Saccharomyces cerevisiae S288C: one gene and its partner. Changing the gene in region 2 together with the main gene of any one other region gives a genetic interaction. Each region holds a gene or a part of one and is shown on either strand. Other genes may lie near its edges.

What was found.
Region 1: of OPT1 (region 2) and MRK1, extra expression of one rescues a mutant of the other (dosage rescue), as found in Saccharomyces cerevisiae (one study listed by BioGRID).

Annotation. Positions count from the first base shown.
Region 1 is NC_001136.10:313,004-316,760, forward strand, and holds the start of MRK1 (putative serine/threonine protein kinase MRK1), read right to left. Parts: upstream 1,746-3,757; coding exon 1,334-1,745; intron 1,042-1,333; coding exon 1-1,041. Other genes in the region: malate dehydrogenase MDH3, read right to left, coding at 2,354-3,385.
Region 2 is NC_001142.9:34,111-37,867, forward strand, and holds the start of OPT1 (oligopeptide transporter OPT1), read right to left. Parts: upstream 2,140-3,757; coding exon 1-2,139. Other genes in the region: PEX2 (ubiquitin-protein ligase peroxin 2), read left to right, coding at 2,809-3,624. UniProt on the Saccharomyces cerevisiae protein: High affinity transporter for glutathione. Also transports tetra- and pentapeptides like the opioids leucine enkephalin (Tyr-Gly-Gly-Phe-Leu) and methionine enkephalin (Tyr-Gly-Gly_Phe-Met) across the cell membrane.

The sequences.
Region 1 (3,757 bases), on a different chromosome or scaffold from region 2:
CGGGCCGTTCCACAAGTGGAACATGGCCCAACTCAGTTTCCACGTCGAAGTCAAATATACGCAGGTTTTGTGCTTTTACGTAAGTGTCGGTATCACAACGTTTGGTTTCGTCAAAATAGCTTGATAATAGACATTGTAGAGGTACCAATCTTTCGCAAGGGTGATACTTCAGAGTTTTTGTTAACAAGTCAAGAGTATCGGGATCTTCGGCTTTGAATATTTCAGCCAAAGTAATGGGCTTGATATTGGGGAAAACATGGTCTTCATAATTTGGGTTCATTCCTGAAATTTCATCCTTTGTGGGTATGCCCATTATCTTAATAATTTCCACCAACTGATCTATACCGCTTTCACCAGAGAACAAGGGCTTGCCCAAAAGCAACTCAGCAATGACACAAGCGCTTGACCACACGTCGACCTGGTTTGAGTAATTAGTGGCACCAAACATGAGTTCGGGAGCCCTATAGTACCTTGAACAGATGTAAGACACATTAGGCTGATCCGGTTTCAAGCATTTGGCACTGCCAAAATCGCAAATCTTGAAAGAAAAAGTTGTCGGATCCACCAGTAGGTTTTGCGGTTTTATATCTCTGTGACAGATTCGAGGAACGTTATGCAAATAGTTTAAAGCTTTGAATAGTTGGTATGCATAGAATTTAATTTCAACACGCGGCATCTGCATTTTCAAATTAACAAAATGACGAAGCCTTTGGTATAACGACTGAGGCATGTAGTCCAAAACCAGATTGAGGTATACTTCATCTTCTTCGTCCTTTTCGTAAAAGTAGTACTGTAGACCCACAGTATTTGGATGGCACAACATCTTCATAGTTTCGAGCTCCCTATTTTTATATCTTCTATCTTGTAGTACTTTCTTTATGGCAACTTTTTGATTGGTCTCAATTATTACAGTCGTGACTACAACACCAAATGAACCATGGCCAACCACTTCTGTCGTAGGATAACTGATGTCGATAGTTCCTCCATGATTTTTTCGGTCGACATCAGTTTTGCGGTCATGTTTATAAACCCGTTTATGAACTAAACCTATGTTAGTATATAATGTGATTCCCATAAAAAATGGTAGTTGATGTAATATGGAAAAATGTTCCGCTATGCTTCCTGATATTTCGTAAGCAAGTTTCTAAGATTAGGGATGCAATTTCATAAATCTTTATTTTACACTCTCTTTTTTTTTCTTTTAATTATTTTTTTTTGTGTCGCGATACTATGAACTGACAGTAGTTCCACTATTCACTCCGGTTGTGACGAAAGAAACATTCCTCCACTGGCAAGAACATAAAAAAAAAAAATAAAAAATAATTATACATACTAGTCCTTTCCTTGGTTTTAATATACCTATAATCAAAATTAATCATTTTCTCAACCTTCTCTTTACTAAGCTTGCTACTAATATTTTCGTGCTTATTGGCAACTTTTCCATCTGTTTTACTGTCCGAGATATTGGCGTGTTCAATGTGATCAACTGCAATACCCTCCTTTCCCCCGTCTATCAGTTTAGATATTATAAGATTCTCTATGTCGTTGATGTACTCTGAACTGTTATTGAAATTAGGTACAGTATGGTGAACTTGAACGTCGCTTACCTTTTTGATTGTATCAGGCTTTCTCTTCTTCTTTTCTAGGGCAGTATTACTCTGTATAGATGTCTTGTGTTTTAGCTGAAGGTTATCTGAGTTATTGAAGGAAATCTTTCGCACTAGGCTTCTCAACACATCGGTCATAGTAGACTATTTTACAATTTTCACCTCTTCAATCTTGAGATTATTTTCAAGTCCCTTCCCCGCAGTATGGTAGAAACGGAAATACTTGTATGCAGCAGGGTTCTTATAGCACCAGTATTTTTTAGAGAATGCTTATTTAAGTTGCAAGATATAGCGACAAAAGGAGAACCAATCTTTCTCAGATCCGCCGCTGGAACAGCTCTCCGGTAGATCCTAACGGATAATGCTGCCCCTGGTTAGTTCCTCATCGGACGACTTTGCTCCCAGGGGCGGCCTTTGTCTTTCTCTTTTGCAGAATCAACTCTATTTTCCCCACCCCCCCGCTTTTTTTTTTTCATGTTCCTTTACCAATCTTTGAAAAATCACGAGATGGTGCATATTTGACAAGGAACGCTTAAAACATCGTGGAGTGAGTGTGGTAAAGGTAAACTGGTCATAGCGGAATTGGTCATAGCGGCGTAGTGCAGCGCAGCCACTAGGAGGATATGGTTTCCTTTCCTTCAATTTACTTGAGTATAAAATATCATAGTAAGCGAAACATTATACAACGATATGAGTCAAGATACAAAGGAGTATAGAGTTAAGAAAAATATAAAAATTGAAGTAGCTCATAGCTTGGAAGAGTCTAGGATGAAACTCTTGCCTTTTTCAATATTCTTGCGTAGCTCTTTGACCGCAGTATTAACGAGTTGTTCCTCTCTCGGAGACAGTTTTTCCAGAACACTGGTATCGATGGATACTACGCTACCATTTCTCAAAACAATTGGCAAGGAAAAATACTCAATAGAGTTGTCGCCAACTAATTGCTGCGCTTTCTTACCGTTTTTTAAGCCTGGTAAATAAACGAATGCGGAAAGTGACTCCGTTTCTGGTTTCTCATTATGGAAGCTCCTCAAAACTTCTTCAGCAAACTTGGCCCCCGCGAACGCCATGGACAACGTGGCGGAACCGGCGCCCTGTTTAGCTTTGACAATTTCATCACCTCCGAACTGGACCCTATGAATGAAGTGCTCGTACTGCTTATCAAGTTGAAATACCAGCGATTTGTCGGTGATTATTGGGATAATGGTTTCCCCTGAATGACCCCCAATAACAGTGACCTTTCTGTGCATTGTAGTTTTGTCTTGTTCTTGTCCAATTTTGGGGTTTTTTAGCATCAAATAATCTACCAAAAAGGTTTCTGCACGTACCAGGTCAAGGTTCGTCACACCCATAACGTTTCCAGGTTTGAACTTACCCATTTTCTTCAAAGTTTCCACAGCAATAGGGACCAAACTGTTTACAGGGTTTGAAATGACTAAAATCCTCGCATTTGGTGCGAACTTTCCAACAGCGGTTACCAGGCTTTTGACAATACCGGCGTTCATCTTGAACAAATCATCTCTAGTTAAACCGGGCTTTCTGGGAACACCAGCCGGTATTAGCACCACCTGAGCATTTGACAAGGTGTTCTCAATACTATCCTTATCATAACCGACACAACTTGAGTTGGTGTTGATGTGAGATAAATCCTTACCAATGCCTTCCGCAGCTCGGATATCGTACAACGCCAGCTCGGAAACGTAAGGGCTTAATTTTAGCAGTAATGATAGCGGTTGTCCCACGCCACCAGAAGCGCCAAGAATTGCGACTTTGACCATGTTTATGATTGTTTGTCTCTTTTTATTTTCTTTTGCACTGACAAGTGTTTTCCCTTGATTTACGAAGGCCTTGATTGTTTTATGCTTGAATTCAAACCCAGCAATTCTTCCTTTTTCCCTTAGTCTTTTATAGGCCGGCGAAATTTATGATGGGCAGTAAAACTCCAATAGTAACGAACCGAAGGGGTTCAAAAGTTGTCAACTCGTGGAAATTCACACGTAAGAAGGATACAGAAAATCTTGAGTAATAGACCATGCCAAGCATGTCCACTAGTCATAACGGCATTGCTCGTCATACGATAGGGTATTGAACACCTTTCGGCCGGACCGGCGTTAACTCCGGCCATATAAATGTGGTAAAAAAGGGTACTG
Region 2 (3,757 bases):
TAATGAGTAGTTATAAGGTGTGCTTGGTGGAATATTACCTGGGCCTGTGAAAAATACAGGAGTATGAATGTGCTTAGCAAATTTAAATTTAGGGAATTTCCATTGAACAGCATAAACGGCTAGTGGGAATAGCAAACCAATCAAGAAGAACCACATCAGCGGATTATAAATGCGCCCTGATGAGAAAAGATACTTTGGCAAAGACCAGATAATGGAAGCATTGAAAACCGTGCGACCATTAGCACAAGTGAAGCCATTTGGTTGATCGGTGGTACATAAGCCATCGATATTATGCATCATCCATTCCTGGACACCAACGTTAACCATGCCTGATATGATAGTGGCATAGATTTGAACGGCAAAGATCAAACGAGGGGAAACCTTCATGTACATGGCTAATTTCAAATCTCTACTCAAATTCAAGCCTTGTCTCATGACAATAAATCCGTATAGCTTGAATAATAAGTTTGCCATTGGTCTTAAAGGCAGCATATAACCGCAGATCAATTCTGTGATAATATTCAAACCTACGTGTTGGTTAGTCATTGCTTCCAAGATACCTTGCGGGATGAAATTTACAAGGGAAATTAATATTGCAATAACAAATGCCCAAGCTGGGAACTTAGTATCGAAACAGCACACTGCTACAAATCCTAAACCGATCATGACAATCTGCAAAAGTAAATACCACCAATCGGGACAATCCTTATAGTTCTTGGAGTAGATTCTCATGTGAATGTCAGTGCCACCATTTTTACGGTCTTTAAACTTGGCGACAATATCTTTACCGTGGTATAAGATGCAGTGGACAAAAACGGCGATAACAGCGGCAAAATTTAAAGCATACGACAAAAGATAGGAAAATGGAACGAATACCGGTGAGTATTCCTTATATTTCTCAAGATTAATGGAATAATCCTCGTTAAGAATCTTTGTTACGTTGTATTTGTTTTGAGTGTTGTCATAAGTAGAACCTGAAATGACGGGCATGTATTTGGCATACCAGGTATTCGTAAAATAAAGACATGGCAGCACTATGACGAAGAATATCAACACTGATGCATAGGTGTTGGCGGAGACGTAGAATGGTGTGGCGAAAACAGAGCCGGACATGGCTTGGGAAACCTGGGTGTAGTCAAATGTAATTGGCAACGCACCGAGACCACTTTGAGTACCAAAGATTGTGTTAGCGATGAAATTGTGTCTTGTCTTCGACCCCCATAGGATAACGTTGAAATAGGACAGACCGGTAAAGAGGAATCCAGGTACCCAATACCAGATGAACGATCCGATAAGGACGATTAAGAAGAACCTGTAACGGGGCATCGTCCAACCATTTGCGACTGTCTTTTCAACTTTTCTCGAGTGCAACGAATCAAACAAGGACACTGAAATTAAAGTCTGAGGCCAGATAGAGCTTGCAGGGTTGACGACCCATCTTCTGGTAAGACCTGCAGCACCATAACCAATCATTTGAGATGTCCAAACCAACAAGAACTGATATCCGACATTAAGTTTCATGTTGTAAAAGCTTCCCTGGGCGTTCAAAATGTACATAGCGTATGCAGTAGAGGAAGTAAGCGCCACGGCAATTGTGACCACGGCGTGTTCCTTTTTGGTAAATGGGCCCGGGTTTAAATCGAAAAATGGCACTTTAGAACACTTCCAGTCGGGCAAGAGAGCCAGTATCCTACCAATTGGGTAGCAAACAACTTGTGCAACAAGGAAGTTGATCTCTAGCGATGGATATCTCAGGGAAAAAAATTGATTAACACCGGCGAAAACTACCACAAACACCGTGGTCAAGAACCACGTTCTCCAGTGGTTGAGGCGGATGGTGGGGTCATCCTCGATGGACACCGCCGATCTCACTTCAGGATATGGAGAATTGGGCAAGTATGTAGGGTCGCCCTTCCAAACGAGACCTTCCTCCTGTATGGAATGCCTGTCGAATTTTTGGCTTTCCGGATCGCGGTCCTCCTCATCAGTAGTCGCAGTGAGATTATTGACGTCCTCGTCAATATTCTTAACGAAAGCATCTTTCTTTTCCTCTTCCATATTGATCTGGATAGGAATGGTTGTTGGCGTTGGCGAGGGCTCCGACTCCAACGAGTCGCTCTCCCTATAAATGGTACTCATGTGTTCTGTGACGTTATATAATTGTTGCGGTTATTTTCTGCCACACAGTCGAAAACTTTTTACCAAGAATACACAGCTTCCGATGATTGTCCATATATAGTCGAAACAATTCATTGAATAGCCCAAAATTTGAAAAAAAAAGAAAAATGATGGGCACCCCATGATGATAAGAGCTCTCTTTCTTCAACAACGATTGCTAAGGCGTTTACAGACCCATCGACTGCCCTTGCAGTGGGTTTGATGTGATTAACAGGCAGCAGCAACAAGCAACTGCTGAAAACCTTGGTGCCTTGCAGACGGCTATTGTCCTGGATTTTGTGTGACAAAACGTAGATGTGGCGTCTTGTAGTCGGAGGTGTGGCGGGCCGGAAAAATAGTGGAAAAAAAGAAAATTAATGCGATAGCGACGGGCAGGTAGGGAGGTTTGAGGGGTCCGTAGTATGCGTCTATCGTTGCAACAAGGGTGACTAATGCCATGTCTTGGCCTTTGATGCAACGTCTCGGAAGTTAGTATCGATCCGAGGAGTGGAACGGATGCGATTTCCCCTCCATTCTATCGATAAGGTTGCTGGGAAACGCATTATAAGGGATGAGTGAAGACGGAGGGAAAGCATAACGAGGAGAGATTGCCGAGATAACTGAGAAGACGTAATCTAAAGGCAACGCAGCATGTCTCGAGTTGCACAGCTCGACTCGATAGCGCTTGATAAAGAATTGTATGGACAGTTTTGGTCCGAGTTCAATGCAGCATTCAATACGAGTGAACACAAAGAGGAATGGGAGTTGGCACTGAACACAGTTGTGTTTATGTGCGCGACGAGGTTCCTGCCACACTATGGCTCTAGCTGTACGTATGGATCCGCACTCAGTGGCGTGGTTTTTCAGTGCAGGAAACGCACCTTGTATGTCGTCACTGTCTTGGCAGGGTACGTGTGGAAGAAGATCACACATATTATTTTTAATGGGCCGCACTGTGGGAACCAGATGATGTGGCTGAAGCTGTACAAATGGGTTAATTTATTGTATCACGGCTGTGATGTAACCAACTTCCTGAGGTTTCTAGCAGCGGAAGGGCCCAATGCGAGGGCGTTTTTGTCGCCGTTATACCGGGCTTTTAATGTCCATTCCACAAGGTTGATTCGGGATGGTTCTGCAATTGCCTCTGAATTTTATTCGAACTCTGTATTCGCTGGGTTAGAATACCAGAATAGACAATTGCTATGGAATGCACTATTAGAACTCTTTTCCAATACACTACTTACGAAAAGAGGACTCTTGACCTTTGTTAAAAAACCACCAAGGTCTCGTTCTACGACTACTTATAAGACAGTTTGCCCCCGTTGCGGCGGTTTTCCAACCAACCCATACCAGATCGCTTGTTGTCGTGCGAACTACTGTTACGTGTGCGTTGTAAAGGCGTTGGAGTGGTCTATGTGCGATGCCTGTGGATCCTCTGGGAGACTGACCGCCTCACCAGTGTACTAAAGGGCCCCGTTCCCTCGCTTGTATCTCTATATATGTGTATACTATATTCATATTCATGTTGTCAAAATCGGTCACGTGGTAAAGGGTCTGGTTTTTTTTTTTTCACTTTCTGCTCAAGAAAAAAAAGAAACAA